2 linked regions of the Lonchura striata genome follow. The protein of the gene in region 1 interacts with the protein of each later gene in a biochemical or structural test. Links are inferred from orthologs where the notes say so. Each region holds a gene or a part of one and is shown in the gene's direction. Other genes may lie near its edges.

The links.
Region 2: of the proteins of CASP3 (region 1) and GSN, one has a biochemical effect on the other in vitro, tested with the Homo sapiens proteins (2 studies listed by BioGRID). The link is inferred for Lonchura striata from reciprocal best matches to the Homo sapiens genes CASP3 and GSN.

Annotation. Positions count from the first base shown.
Region 1 is NC_134606.1:31,973,666-31,981,447, forward strand, and holds the start of CASP3 (caspase-3), read left to right. Parts: upstream 1-4,440; 5' UTR 4,441-4,552; intron 4,553-7,782. Other genes in the region: PRIMPOL (DNA-directed primase/polymerase protein), read right to left, coding at 632-816, 2,007-2,025. UniProt on the Homo sapiens protein: Thiol protease that acts as a major effector caspase involved in the execution phase of apoptosis. Following cleavage and activation by initiator caspases (CASP8, CASP9 and/or CASP10), mediates execution of apoptosis by catalyzing cleavage of many proteins.
Region 2 is NC_134624.1:9,498,409-9,506,535, forward strand, and holds the start of GSN (gelsolin), read left to right. Parts: upstream 1-4,808; 5' UTR 4,809-4,872; coding exon 4,873-5,007; intron 5,008-6,111; coding exon 6,112-6,313; intron 6,314-6,817; coding exon 6,818-6,972; intron 6,973-7,803; coding exon 7,804-7,965; intron 7,966-8,127. UniProt on the Homo sapiens protein: Calcium-regulated, actin-modulating protein that binds to the plus (or barbed) ends of actin monomers or filaments, preventing monomer exchange (end-blocking or capping).

The DNA of each region.
Region 1 (7,782 bases):
TACTGCCAAGCCAGTGAGAACCCATTTTGGAAAAGAGGCTGTTAGGATTACTTAAATACCTGAAACAGGTATGGAGAAAAACACAATACTTTCTTTTAAAAGAGCAATCAATTTAAAAAGTGTTAAACTGAAAACAGAGGATACCTTTCAAACAATTTTTATTTGGCTAATCACGTCTAATCATCTGAACTTGCTACTCAGATGCCATTGGAGAGTTGTATTGTTTTTATTTAGTCTCTGCCTCTTCTTTATCTCTTTTTCTTATCAATTTTTCCTCCTCTTTCTTCCTACTCATTCTCACTACCTTCCCATTCTCCTGCCCACCCTGACAGCTTGTTCATCTTGAGGAGGAACAAATTTATCACTACAATGTTCCCAAAAAGCACTTTTACTGTTCAAAGTCAACACCACATATCAACTTGTATGTTAGAACAGAACTAGTACTTCTTAGAGATACTTCCAGTGCAACATGACCTACAAAGACAAAAAAAACCAAAACTTGCTCTTTCAGGATTGGGAATAAAAAGATCTTGTAAACTGATAAAGATTTCATTCCCAACAGCAATTTTAAATGATGTTCAATCTTGAAAGTATATAAAGAGTAGAGACATTCACCTAACACGTAATATACCTCTTGGCAGGTTTTTACATAAGAAAAAGCTTCAGCCTGTCGTGAAAATATTTTCCAAACAGAGGATGGCATAGAGGGTTTGGAAAGTCTTGGTCTATAAACTGTAGGAAGAGGATTTCTTTCATAGTGAGATGCTAGTTCTTCCACCTTCTTCAGTCTTTCTTGCCATTTTCTCTTCATTTCTTCTAAAGCAATTACAGATAGTCAAATCAGTATCAATCTGTTTGCAAGGCAATTTTAATTTCAATCTATCCTGTACTCCTCACTGCTTTTGATTCTGATTTTGTTGAATGTAATTTATTAATTAACTGGGAGTAGCCAATGTTCCAAATCAACACCTAACCTTGCTATGATACTCATTTTAATATTAAATGTCTCTACACTGTTTTGGGAGTACAAAAGCTTCATATTAACACTTATCAAAGATAAACACAACAGAATAAAGACAGTGAAAGAAGGCCTAGGAATTTTCATTTTGGTCTACAGAATGGTATTACACTCCTCAGAAAGTATACAAACTGTTGACTAGGCACATAACGTTAGTAAGGAGTAAAATAATACTAAAAGTAAAAAAATATTTTTCCTTTGTGGTTGAGGAGACAAATGAGATCATTTCTACGGGTAGTATAATATTTGAGTTCATAGGAGGAGTTAAGACTTCAGTGACTTTAGCTCTGAGCTCTGTATCTTAAAGTATAAGAAACGAAATCCAAAATGAGAGTTCCATTCTCCATGCTGGCCTTTGCTATTGATCACTCATACTTTCACCTGCTTTAAAAGCTCATGTACTTTTCACAACCTTACAGCAGCAATCTTATCTCTTTTCAAGAAATAGAGCCATGCAGTAACTCTTGCTATCTTGCAACCTTTAAGTTTCCAGTCCCATAAAGTAATCCAAATGATGCAGAGTAATGTAGTAAAGCATAAACACATTTATGTACAACTATCTGTAAGTGGAACACCAGGAAATCAGTAAAAAGCACTGCCAGGAAACTGTGAAACAGAGGAAGAGAGGCAAGAAGTAACAAACACAAAGGGGAATCTTCTTGTTCTGCCCAGCATAACCACTTCATTCTTCTAACAGCTCCTGGGCTGCAGTGAAAGATAAAAATGAAACTGAGTGTACTCAAAGGTATTCAAACCTTTAACAAGCTGGATCCACAAGGCAAATTTAAGTATTTAAATATTCTTGTGGAGCCCTGAAGCCCAAATTTTAGATCCTCTCATTTCCCCCTCCAGGTTTTCCATAGCAAATCTTCCTGGAACAGTTACATTTCTGCCCACTGTTGAAGCCTGCCAATGTCTTGATAGTCAGTGCCTGAATGAAGTCTAAGTAACAGAATGTTTTTTCTGTAACAGGGGTCAAACATATTACCTCTATCCCCCTTGTCCATCTTCTGACCTGTGCATTTTCTTCACTCCTTTTCTATGCTCTTAGTTTCTTCTCTGGGAATTAAAAGTTAGATTATAGATAGCAATCAGCATTTCTCAGAAGTGCTAACAAAACTTTCAGTTTCATTTTGGCGCTGCTGGCTGTAAATTAACTAGGTGCAAAAGAAATCCCTACATCAGCATTTTCCCACAAGGTGACCATTAAAAAATGAAAGCAAAGGAGAAGCCCCATAATTCTTTATTAATTTTAAACTTTCTAGTTACATTAGGCCGTATTTTTGCAGAAACACAGCTGGGAGGACCTGAACCTGGGAGAAGAGTGATGACCCTTACTTTCAACTGAAACTATCATGGTTCTTGCAGTCCAAACACTCGATATCTCAAGAGTCCAACATGTCAAGTCTTTTCAAGGCAATTTCAATTCCTGTGTGAGCTATAACACAACACATCTACTTAGAGCACATACAGTTAACACAGATCAGCCTTCTGAGTTCACTGGGAAATTCTCACTTCATCTTCCTCTCTTATGTCCCACCAGAAGTAAGGGCAGTACTTATTTTTGTTTGACTTGACTGAAAGAAATCTTGTCACAAACATGTTTGGACTTCAGTGTTATTGACTCAGCAGGATGACTGCATGAAGAGCCTGGAAAAAATGTCTCCTGAGCAATGATTTAAAGAACTTGCTGTTTAATTTTCTCTATTTTATGGAAGACTATTCTCCCTTTACTTCTTATAACAGCAAAACGTATTACACACACCTGCAGCTCAGACATGCAAATCAACTGCTACTCAAAATAACATTACACTTGTTTCCTGGCTGGTGTGTACCATGCAACATAGTTCTATGGCAGAGTTCATGGTCCTTGACAAAAATAAATCCATGAGATTTTCTCCCAGCTACTGATTCAGCCTTAGAAGAACACATTAAATTCCTTAACATTAGTGAAAATTAGCTATCCTTACATTCATCTGATGAATGTCACATTAACAAACGCTACTCATCTTCCCAATAACAAATGTTCATCTTGCCCTCCTAATAGAGGAAGTTGCCTCTACATTTACAGAATCACAGGATGGCTCAGGTTGGAAGGGACTACAATGGGTCATCTGGTCCAACTTCCCTGCTCAAGCGGGGTCATCCTAGAGCACATGGCACAGGATTGTGTCCAGTCAGTTCCTGAGTATTTCCAGTGGGGAAGACTCCACAACTCCTCTGGACAACCTGTTCCTCAAATTAAGATTGCAAGTGCAAAACTCAGTAGATCAGACCTGGTGATAAGACCTGAAAAAGTAGGTTAGTACCTGTTATCAGAAGCTGGAATACATAGCTTCCAATGTTATCTGACTTCTGATACTGAAGGTCAGTGTACAGATATGAAACTAACTGACCTGAAAGTTGATGAAGCCAAAATCAGGCCTCAGCGTCAGAGCGCTGTTGTTCTGCGAGGCAGGTCTGTGGGCAGCCAGGGACAGCCACCACGCAGGTGGGTGAAAACCCTGTCCAAGGGAAGGTACTGCCATGGTACAAGCCAGCTCATCCATGGGGATCTCGCTCACTGAGGTCAAGAGGGGGGGCTGCTCATTTAGTTATTGTCCCCACAGATTGCTCTAGATGGCCATTTCCTTTACAAACCACCATTCTGTCAGAATCACAGAACAGTCTGAGTTGCCACCGCCAACAGTCACACCATGTACCTGAGAATGTTGTCGAAATGCTCCTTGAACTCTGTCACACTTGGTGCTGTGACCAGTTCCCTGGGAGCCTGTTCCATTGCCCAACCACCCTATGGGTGATGTACCTTTTCCTATTATCCCACCTCAACCTCCCTTCACACATCTTCAGGCTGTTCCCTCGGGTCCTGTCACTGGTCACCACAGAGAAGGATCAGTGCCTGCTCACAAGGATGCTGAAGACCACAATGAGGTCTCCCCGTAGCCTCCCCTTCTCCAGGCTGAACAGACTAAGTGACCTCAGCTGCTCCTCCTATGGTTTCCCAACGAGGAAATGCCCTTCACCATCCTCAGGGTGCCCAGAACTGCACACAGCATTTAATATGAGGCCGCACCAACATGGTGTAATATACTAGAACGCTACATTTGTTTCAGCAGGCAGAGGAACTCAAGCAACAGCGCATCGTTCACACCCAAGAGCAGCAAGGACAGCCGTACCCGGCTCAGCGCTCCGAGCGCGGTGGCTCCGCCACAGGGCCCGGCCCCGCGAGCTCTGCCAGCAGAGCAGAGCAGAGCAGCCACCCCGTGCCTCCCCAGCGCGGCCTCGCACGTCTCCCTCCCGCCGGCAGAGCCCGCAGAGCCCGCCGAGCTGAGCCCGCCGGGCCCGCGCCGCTCCCCCGGCCCGACTCACGGCCCGCGCCGCCGCCGCCGCCGGTGCGCGCCGCCCGCCCAGCGCGGGGCGGGGCCAGCGCGGCGCCGGCGGGCCGGGCGGCGGCGGCGGGGCTTTCTGTGCTCGGGGCAGCGCTCGGCTGAGCGGCGCTCGGGAAAACGCGGCTCAGAGCGCAGCGAGCAGCCGGTGAGTGAAGCCGGTGAGGGGCATTGGTGCCGGGAAGCGGCGGTGCCGGGATGCGGGCGCGGCGGCGGAGCCGAACAAAGCCGTGGGGGTGGGGGTGGACCAAGCTGTGGCTCTCCAGGGCCGCGTGGCCGCCAGCATTTGTCCCGGAGGAAGTCGGCAGCGGGGAGCAGGAGGGGAGCCGCGTTTGGCCGGGGCGGGCCGGGCTGAGCGCGCCGTTCCCCCGTCTGCCCGCCGGGCTCCCGGCCCCGCAGGCCCGGCGCTCGGGCGGTGCTGGGGCGGGTGAGCCCCGGCCTGGCCCTCGGGCCAGGCGGGAGAGAGCGCCCGCGGCTCCATCCCAGCGCCCGCGGCTCCATCCCAGCGCCCGCCGTGCCATCCCAGCGCCCGCGGCGCCATCCCAGCGCCCGCGGCTCCATCCCAGCGCCCGCGGCTCCATCCCAGCGCCCGCGGTGCCCATCCCAGCGCCCGCGGTGCCCATCCCAGCGCCCGCGGTGCCCATCCCAGCGCCCGCGGCTCCATCCCAGCGCCCGCCGTGCCCATCCCAGCGCCCGCCGTGCCCATCCCAGCGCCCGCCGTGCCCATCCCAGCGCCCGCGGCTCCATCTCAGCCCCCGCCGCTTCCCCTGCCCGGGGGCAGAGCCCGGGCCTCCGGTGTTAGCTTTCCAGAAGCTTAAGGTAGCGAGTTTGTTCCCTTTCAGCCTGTCTTTGTGGGGACGCTGTAGAAACAGAGGGCAAAGAGAAGGGGAAAAAAAAGGCGCTGTAATTCTGAGCTGCTCTCTGGTGACCACTCGGTGGACCATTAACCGGAAACACGGGGTCAGAAGCTGTATTTGGATCTTCCGAAACAAAGCGTGTTAAACCTCGTCTGTACTGACGAAAAGCATGCCTGGGGTCCTGGCAGGCACTGTGGCTAACTTTTGGTAGCAGGCAACACGCCCTGACGTGTGTTGTGTCCTGCCTGTTCCCTGCTGGGCTGAAGGATAGGGCTGGCCATCTATCGTCTGTCTGTCTTTTACTCTGTAACTCAGAGCTCTCTCCTTCAGGTATCTGCTTGCCAGGGGGTAGGTTTCAAACTAGCACACCGTGCCCTTCATGTTAAGGAGCTGATATGGCTGTTGCTTATAGCAGTGTGATTATATATATATATAGATGTGATTAATAGCTACAGGTAAATTAATAACTCCAAGGTCCCTTCTACACTTGGAGTAATTTCAGCTGATTTTACAGCTTCATGCTGAGTACCTAAAAGTCTGTTTGTTGTGGAAGATCAGAATGCTGGCCCAGTGTCAGGACTTTCCAGCAACTACATCCAGACCAGAAGCAATGGGAAAAGCTGTCTCAGTATGGGCCTGCTTCCATCTTTGGTAGCAGTATTTAGCAGGGGGATAGTGTCTCACAGAAAATGTAATGCTGTATTTCAGATGTTTTTTGTTTTTTCATATAGTCTGCTTCTGTATCTTCCTTCTCTTATTAGTCAGATAATTATTGTTTAGCATTATACATTGTAGAGGGGAAGATTTTTAATTTGCATGTCTGCATTAGTATCATGATATGTCATGTATATGTTTGTCTACAAAAAATACCTTCTTTAAATGCTTGACATTTTCTCTTGCATTCATGTGATGTAGAAAACTGCCCTTTTCCTATCTTTAAGAAGATGTTTTACATTGCTGATGTCTGTTTTGAGCATGTTTTAGCAGTGCTATACTCATTGCTTTGTAGCAACAGATATATTCTGAACATGTGTTGTTTCCTGTGGTTTGCATATTTCAGGATCCAGTTGGTAACTAAAGACAGTTTAGTTATTTGCTTTCTCCCATCTCGGAAGCTTTGGTATTTTTATCACTATATATTTTTATCACATTTCTGTTGTTCTCATTTCAAAGAAATATTGCTTTAAAAAGAAAAAACTGATGGTTTTTATGGCCACCATAAGTAACCATGTGGTAACACATGATGATGTGAATTAATTTTCTTTAGGTCCAGGTGGAATAAGTAAATCCAGGCTGCAATGGAGTAAAAAGTTGTTTTATTTATTGTTTTCCTGTCAAAAGAAAAGTATTGGAATAACTACATTTATGTAGGGGAAAAAATCTTTTTGCTCTTATTGCTGTACAGAGATGAATTGGTCATTTCTTGGTAGCTTGCAGAACATAGCTTTGAACCTTTTTGAGACACTTTATTTCTTATTACCTAGTATATGTAAAGATCATTGTAGCATCACCTTTATGTTTGCTGTCTCTGTATCATGTTTTTTTTTAATTGTATTTTTTTTCAGACTCACTATTATAAAATAAGCTTCCTAAAATCTACAGAATATATTTTGCTAGATTATAAAAATGCTATTGCTCTTTTTAATAACTTGTTTATATTTCCTTACACTTGAAACCTCGTTTTACCTAAGCTTTCAGAGAAAATATCAAAGAGCAGCATAAAAATTTGTAATAAATTTTTAAAGCACTGCAATGATTTCTTCCCCCCACACCTCCCCTCACCAGGATGAGATCATCCTCCACAGGGAAATGCATGGCATCACTGCATTACCTAAAGCAAGATGAGGCAATTCTTACTGGCCTGTTAGAATCAGCAGCATCCTCCAGAGAGCATTGCTGTGACCCTGCTTCAGAGCACAAAATGCCCTGCTGATTCAGGCACGCATTTGAGTGCCTAGGGTGTCTTTTGTTCTTTAAAGAAGTGCAGGTGACCTGGTGCCTGAGGGTGCTCAGGAACTGATGGATATTAAAAGTGAGTTATGGATTCTGTTCTGAAGAGAAACTATGCACATTTCAAATACTTAACGTGTTATAACCAGTTTTTCTAGATAATCCCTATAGCTTCTGTAAAGTCTCTGAGACAAGCTCCAGTTGTGATGGAGTGCAGGAAGCTCTAACACTTCACTGAACAACTGTAACTGTAGACTCTGAACTAGGCTTGCAGAGTAAGAAGTATTTTTATGATACAAGTTGTGATTTAAATTTTTCAGAAAGAAACTAATATAATTGATTGGAATTGTAGGTTTTGCTAGCTACTTCTTCCAGTTTCATTGTTTCTTTGATGCTGGATCAAGAACAGCAGTTTTACAGCTTTAAAATTGAAGGTTGCTAAAGGGTCAAGGAGATAAGTTTTATTTTAAGGTCACTTAAATGTTGGAGATCTCTCTTAGTGTTTGCATCGTGCCTTTACATTTACGTTGTAAGCAGCATTCAGTGCTCGCAGGGGTCTGCAGTTTGCTTA
Region 2 (8,127 bases), on another chromosome or scaffold:
GGAAGCTCTGTGTTTACTAAGTGGGTTTTCAAAAGGTACAGAGCCCAGAATAGAGCTGATGTGACTCATAGTGCAAACAAACAGCTGGAAAAAGTGAACAATACTCAAATCTTCTGGGCCTTCTAACTTGCTCAAGTGGTTTTGTAGGAATTTTAATTTAACAAATGCAAAAAACCTACTTGCCAGTTGCATAGCTAATGCTGGACTTCATGTCCTGGACTCTTGATCTGAGTTAGGCAGCTTGATTTTTTTTTTGGATTTGTGGCTTTTCTGTTAAGATGTAGCTGCAGGGAATGCCATTAATTGTGCTGCTCCTCATGCTGAGAGCTGAAATAGTTTATGGAGTCACCATGGCTGGGGAGGAGGAGGCTCTCCCATGCCAGTTTTTTCTTATTCCAAATAATCTTTGTTTACTGGCTGCTTCAAGGGATGGAAGGAAAGGGGCAGGGTTTAGTTTTATGTATATATGAGTTTAGGGCTGTCTGGAGACTGAAAACTCAGCTAATCCATCACTTTAGATATTTTTCAATGCTGTCCCCTTGGTTACAAAGCTGCAGTCCTGCCAGAGTTATTTTCAATGGTTTACTGAAGAATTACTGATATTCTATACTGGTTTGGCAGGGAAGCTGAAGGAATAAACAAATATTTCCATTTTCAGGGTGTGCTGTCATCACTGTGGATCCTGTGCTGAACTTTCTTTGTGTTCAGCAGCATCACGTCCTGAGTTTTGGATTGTCAGAACTCAAGTGGTTCTGTGCTGCTCACCCTCACAAGCTTTGTAAATCCATCAGAGTTTTTATGGGGCAGCAGCAGATCACAGAGTAAAGAAATGGCTGCATGGGCAGTCAGACAGTGTAGATTGTGTCCAAAGTGCACAAAGGGCTGAACCTGAAGCAAGGAGATAACTTGATTGGGTTTTTGTTCCTGTGATCTCTTCAGCATCGCTGTTATAGACCTGGGGAACGCAGCCCTTGCTCTGGGCTGTTACTGTGGCAAGCACAACCTGTAGATTTCCTCAGACTGATCATGCCAGGGAGATTATACCCCTTTGCCTCTTGCAAAACAAGGATTTAGGGTTTTCCTGTTGTTGCAGCAGCAATACAGCAGTAATTTACCTCTTCTGGCTCTTGGTACAGGCAGCCTGGAATGCTGTGAGATAAGGGAGGCTTTCTTTTTTGAGAACATATATTGTTGTTTATTTGGAGCAGTTCATATTCTCCAGGCAATGTTTGGCAAATAAATAAAAGGAAAGAGAGAGTTAGTTGGGTGGAAATGCAAATGTTTGCCCCCAAGGTACAATAAGGATTGGTATATGAGGGGCATTTTTGCAGCATGACTGTAGTGTGGATACAGACTCTACTCAGATTTACTGTTCTCATGTTTAAGAAACTCAGTCTGTATTTGCAAGTTATTTTGATGTTCTGCAAGTGTCATCCATTAAAATCAAAAATACAGCCTTTGCCATGTAGAAAGGCAGGAATTGATCCAGCAGTGAGCAGCAGGTGGTTTGGATGCTCTGTGGTGAAATGTTGTGTTGGCTGCAGCCCTTCCTGTGTGGGTTTTGTTTATGCAGCAGATTTAGACAAATTATCTGAACCCATCACGAGTCGACGCCGGAGCTGCAAATGAGCACAACCACATGGGGATGTGGGCTACCCTTGTTTCTGTCTCATTTAATTCAGCCAAGCTTTCCTGAGCAGCCCTGTGCAGGTAAGTCCTGACTATATTTGTGGGTATATTCAGGCATGAATTGCCACAAATTATTACAAATATGAATTGCCACAAACTATTACAACTGGGCCTCACAAAAAATGTGCTCATTTTTCTCTTGTTAGTAGCCAGTTGCCAAATGAAATAAAGATTTTTTTTCTTTCTTTCCCTGCTGTGAGTATTGGGTGATATTATCTTGTAGAAAGTGAGTTTAGCAACATCATTAAGCTTTAGATGGTGGTAGGCGTGAAGATGTGAGAGTGGATTTGACGTGGAGGAACCACACATTAAATATTATTATTAATTATGGATTTTGCAGTGTGGTGAGGCAGAGTAAGAGATTCCAGGCTCAGTGTCTGCAGGTTTTTCCTGAAGGGAACAGGAGATTCCTCTCAGCATGGCTGTGCTGGGCAGTGCAGAACTGGGCAGCTCCTTGGCAGAAATTCAGAGGAGAGTGAAGACAAACAGCCAAAGTGCTGCTGGTGTCAGGGTGGGAGGGCAGAGGAGACTGTCACAGCTGAGAGGGAGGCACGGCCACAGGGATGAGTGAGCAGAGCAGAGATGAAGAATTTAGGGAGGGAGGCAAAGAGAGCTGTGTGTTACAAGCTGCAGGCTGGAAGTAGGAAAGGTGCTTTGGGTACCAGGAGCCAGGAGCTGAGTCCCGGGTGGGAGGCGGTGGGAGCTGCAGCAGCGCTCAGGGCTTGCCCAGAGGATGCACAGCACGCCCGGGATTGCCCTGGGGCCTCTCTGCCTTTCCTGGCCTTCCCCCGGAGCAAACAGCCTCCAGCCTCGGGAGATCACTGCTGCTTCCCTGGAGCAGCAGCTCCAGGCTGCCCGTGGTCTGTGGGCCCCACACGGACTTTGTCAGTGTGAGCTTTTCCTGTTGGGTGCCCAGCAGTAAATCCCTGGGATTGTTCCTGCAGGCCTGACTCCCTCCCAGGGCATTCCTGGGCTGGCCTGTCCTGCTGGTGTGACCGCACATCTGGAGACCATAATGAGCTTGTTGTCTTCCAGTGGTTGCTCAAATCGTTGGACTATTTTTCCCCAAGTTCTTGTTTTCATCACTATGAAGCCAAGTGTCATTTAGCCGATCCATCTGCACTGAAATCCTGTATTTCAAGCACTTTCCTTGTTTTCCTTAAACAACTTTCCTTTGCATAAGAGGTTGGCTGTGCATAGCACCATTTCTGGGACCAAGCTGGACACTTTTATTAACAGCAGCTTTGAAAAGTGCCTGCTTTCCATGTCTCCATCCGGACACCCTTTTCAGTAGAGCCCTGGCGATCTCAGCTGGCAAGTGCCCTTAGAACAATGTCCAGGGTAAACATTTCTGGGGCTTGATTTAACAATGCAACACTTGCTGCCAGCAGTGATAACCCAAACCAGCTGCTGGGGTAGATTTACACCTATTCCCTTCAGGAATGGCTCAGATTAATTAATTTTATGAAAGAAATATGCAATTTATGCACTGTAGCCCTCTCTCAGTTTTTTGCCTCTATTTATATATTGCAGTTAATTGGCAATGCAAGCTTGGGCTTACAAAATGCCAAATTAATTAGGAGACTAAATAAATGTTTTTTCAAAGATATTGTGCCTGCATATATCTGTGAATTACAATATCCTACAGTGGGATGTTAATGAAGGAGATTATCCTGGGTCTTTGTGCCTTCAGTCTGTGAGGTTTGCCCAGATGTGGGACTATACAGGTATTTAATTTAGAAATAAAAAGTCCAGAGTATTTTTCCATTTGGAAAGGACCTATCTCTTTCTAATGTTATGCAACACAGTCATTTTGGTTTGGGTTTGCTGCAGCTGCCAAAGCCTTTCACAGCTGCCTTTCTTAGAGTCAAGGTTCCAACATGTTTTTCAGTGAGACTTAGACCTCTGACACTCTGAACTTCCTTCACAGAGATCAGAAATACCAACAGGACTAGCACATTGTTTTTATTGTCCGTTTCAGTTTGAGACTTTCCAGTGAGATTTTCAAAGGTACATTGCCAAGGTGACAGTTCAAATTAAAATGCATCAGCTTGCACAAGAGAGCAACAGAGTGCTCTTGGGAGAGAGGGAAAGAAAATACCCTCATGGAGAGTGGAGAAAGCACAAAGCAGGGTCTGCTCTTTCCTTCCTGGAAGTTTTATTGTGGAGTTTTATGGGTGGAGGGTTTGGCCCCTTATTTAAGAATCTTTTGAGAGATTCTGACCGTGGAAAGCTCAGCCTGTCAGGAATTGTCCCCTGGGTGTGTTCAGAGCCCAGTGGCAGGACTCCACATTGTGTGGCTGCTCAGTTCCTGAGGGCCACAGGGAAAGGCTCCTGCTCACTTCACTCGCTGCAAACACTTGGAGAACGTGATAGTTGAACTTGCTGCAGTGTGAGGTATTGGAAGAGTAATCTCTTTATTGGTGGCAGATTGTTGGGGTGCTACAATCAGCCCTGTTGTAATTCCTTTGGGCTGAGTAGGTTTGATGGCTCTTGTGTTCCTGTCACAGGGTGTTGCTACACCCTCAGAAATACTTGGTTGTGAAATTATTGAATTGCTGAATGAGCTTTTGTTCTGTCACCTACAGGACTCTGAATGCTCTGTTGTGCTCCGGGAGCTGAAATCCATCAGTGCCTCCCCAAATCCTCCCGAATTGTTCCTGCCGGTGCGGTGTGCGGGGCTCATTCAGCCCTCCTTCACGGGCTGAACCCCGCTCCTCTGGCAGCTTCAGGGAGCTGAGGGTGCATCCCCCATCCTCAGGCTGCTCAGCTCCATCCTTGTCTTCCCCAAAGTCTTTCCCTGCCAGCTGGAGCCGCCGTGCTGCTCCTCTGCGTCTCATCAACTCCCCAGCTCTCAGCTGACAAAATGCTGCCTGTGTTGCTGATGTCTCTGAGTTTCTGCCCGTGAGGGGCCGTTTGGCCCGTGTGACCCTGGCTGTGCTGTCGGTCATGGATCGCACTTCGTGCGAGCGAGCGCCTGCCGGGCTCCGGGAGAGGCTCGGCGGTTCCAGCAGCATTGTTTGCACGAACGCGTTCCGCCCCTGTGCTGCCGAGGGGGTGGGTGTGTTTGTCCCCGATAAAAGATTGGCTTCTGCCCCTCATCTGCCCCAGCAGCCAGAGGAGCCGGGAGCTGGGACTCCCCGCAGCTCGGCAGGAGCAGGGAGAAGCCCTTTGCTCCTAGAAATGGGCAGGAAGGACTTGAGTTACCTTTTCCTCACCATTTTCTGCACAGTGGCTCTGAAGCTGAGCTCTGTCAGCTCCATGTCTGTGGCAGGGCTCGGATATGTTGTTACAGCAGCTCTTGTGCTTTCGGCTGTGGTAAGTGATGGACATCACAATTAAACGCTGAAAAACTTCTGCTTCCAGCTACTTACAGGAATCCATCTCCTTCAACTCTTTGTCAGCGTTTGCCCAGTTTTAGTGGGAATTTGGGAGGATTCAGGCAGGCTGGAATCATGGTGATAAAGTTAATTCTTTTCCATCTTTGATATCTGATTTCAGCTTAGGAATCACTTTGATACCTAACTTACTATTTTGCTTTCTAGCTTGTAACATTCTTTATTTCTGCCTTGAAAACTGAGCATATTTTACTTTTGTCCATCAGCTGCTGTGAACCATCTTCTTTGTCAAAGTACTGAATGCTTCTAATGTAGTATTGTAATGTTTTCTTCCCTGTTACCTGATAGCTCTCAAAGGCATGATGTGATCAATGGACAGTCTTCATTGCCAATACACCAGAAATGTTGTATTTCCTTCCAGAATTAACAAAGTGAATTATTTTATAAGAAAGTGTTCATTATGTTTGTTCGAAAATAAAAAAAGGATATTGCACTGTGTTGATATATTGCATAAGTATGGCAATAAACATATTAAACCAAAATTGCAGTGTCCTTAGGGCAGGATGTTGTGTAAATTAATGTAATTCCTACAAGGGAGGAGTTAAAATAACAGGTCAGAACAGAAGAGCTTTAAGAAACCTCTTAATTACCTAAATATTCAGTGATATTCACAGCATTTTCAATTTGGTTTTCTAAATATTTTTGCAAATTTTTCCAAAATTTTTCTTTCCCACAGCCTGGAATGTCAAGCTTCACTTATGTGCCATACTAAAAAGTTATAAATTAGTAAGAAAAATACAGAGATTAAAATGCAGAGAGAGAGGACAAGAGTCTCGAAGAGGATAAGCCAGTAATAAACCAAGAAGTAGAGATGATTGGAAGTGAAAATTGACAGTGATCAATGGAGAGGGATTCTTTCCACACACATCCTTATTTTTTCCCCCCTTTAAAACTCAGTGCATGAGAAAAAAAGGAAACTTTCCACTTTTTGGCTGGCACAGCAAGTTAGGAGATGAGAAGCAATTTAATTTAAAGACTTCCTTGTGTCCTGCCCACTGAACAGCACCCTCTGTCTCACCCCCAGCCTGTCAGCATGGTGGAACACGCCGAGTTTTTGAAGGCTGGGAAGGAACCCGGCCTTCAGATCTGGAGGGTCGAGAAATTTGATTTGGTGCCAGTGCCAAAAAACCTGTATGGAGACTTCTTCACTGGAGATTCCTACCTGGTGCTGAACACCATCAAGCAGCGCAGCGGGAACCTCCAGTATGACCTGCACTTCTGGTTGGGTGAGTGCTGGGAGTGTCCCTGCAGAGCTGGGACCCAGAGTGACCCCTGAGCCTCTGCTCCACCATGGCCAGGAAACGTTACCCAAGGAAATAAAAAGCAGCACAGTGAGAATGCACTGCTGGGGGTAAATAGCCCTACTCGTGTCAAATATTTGTGTGGTCTCTGCAATAGAGAGTACAGCCACCTCTGATCCTAAAACCAGCTTTTCCTGGCAATAGGACAGGCAAGTCCCTGTTCTGCAGAGGTTCACAGGGAAGGCAAGATCTCAGGTGAAGTCTGGTTCAAATCCTTTTTGCCTGAAAGGAGGGAGGTCAGGTGTGTTCCTCCTGATGAGTGGGATTTTTGCCTCTCCTAAGTGCCCTCTGCTGTCATGTCACAGAGCCTGCAAACCCCAGGCTCTTTGACAATATCACAGTTAAATCTGCTTTCTCCTCCTGTGTTTGCACAGTAGAATGCAGAGGCAGAGCCTGCATCCCCTCCCAGTGTCCCTTTCCATGTTTCAGGTGATGAAAGCTCTCAGGATGAGCGTGGGGCTGCTGCCATCTTCACTGTGCAGATGGATGAGCACCTGCAGGGGAAGGCTGTGCAGCACCGCGAGGTGCAGGGCCACGAGTCCCCCACCTTCCTGGGCTACTTCAAATCTGGCATCAAATACAAGGTGGGTGATAACTGACCCAAGTTTGCAAGAAATGGCATCCTGCCCAATTCCCAGGAGAGTGAGATTTGCCCTTTTTCCAGTTGCTTAAAACCCATTCTCAGCCAGATGTTTTCAATGAGTTGGAACTCAACAGGGTGGAGAACAGCAGATCCCAGTGGGAGAAATTTGGCTGAATTAATAATACACAAGGAAAGCCCCAGAAAGTTTTAGGAATCAAGGTTTTGTTTTTCTTCAAGAGGCAGAGGAAAGAACAGTCCCAAGGCACCTGGAATGAATTTAAGAAGCAGCAAAGTTAATGGGAAACGCCTACCCAGGAGATTTGATTTCTCCCCACTTGCATAACAGTTTGACCTTGCAGTCTCTGTGCTTAGCCCACCCTGCCAGCATGTGCAATGTTTTGGTAAAGGAGATGAACAGTAGTGGGAGTTACTCCTCCCTGCCATCACAATCAAGTGGGATAGAAGTGAAAACATGCAGTCAAGCAGTTGTGTCTGTTAAGAATCCAAAGGCACAAGGAAAGTGATATCAGGTCACATGCTTGCAAAGTGCTCACACTTCCTCATGACTGAGACTTTCCTGATCTTTCTGTTTTGTTTATTTCCCACTCGCTTGTTGTTACTTTTATTCATTTAAAGTTGGTTGTGCTTTTTTTGAGCATAACTGACATGGGTCCTGTTGCCTGCATCGATAAATAATTCCCAGTGTCTATCAGCAGAGAAAGTGAATCCTGAGCTTGGGATAATTTCTGGTAGGCAGGACAAGTTATACACAGGGGAATACACTCTTCCCCCCAGTCCTGGTATGAATCCTTGCTGCTGTGTTTCCCCCCAGGCTGGTGGTGTGGCTTCTGGCTTCAGGCACGTGGTTCCCAACGAGGTCACTGTGCAGAGGCTGCTGCAGGTCAAAGGCAGGCGAACAGTCCGGGCCACGGAGGTCCCTGTGAGCTGGGACAGCTTCAACACTGGGGACTGTTTCATCCTGGACCTGGGCAGTGTGAGTACCACATCAAAGGCAGGTGTGGCAGAATTCAAGGGGCAGGAGGTGTCTGACCTTCACATACGTTTTATTTTCCCCCACTCTGCTGAAGCCATCTCAGTGCTGAGCATCCTGAAACACTGACATAGTCCAGTCCCAGCTGAGTCCTGTCTCACCTAG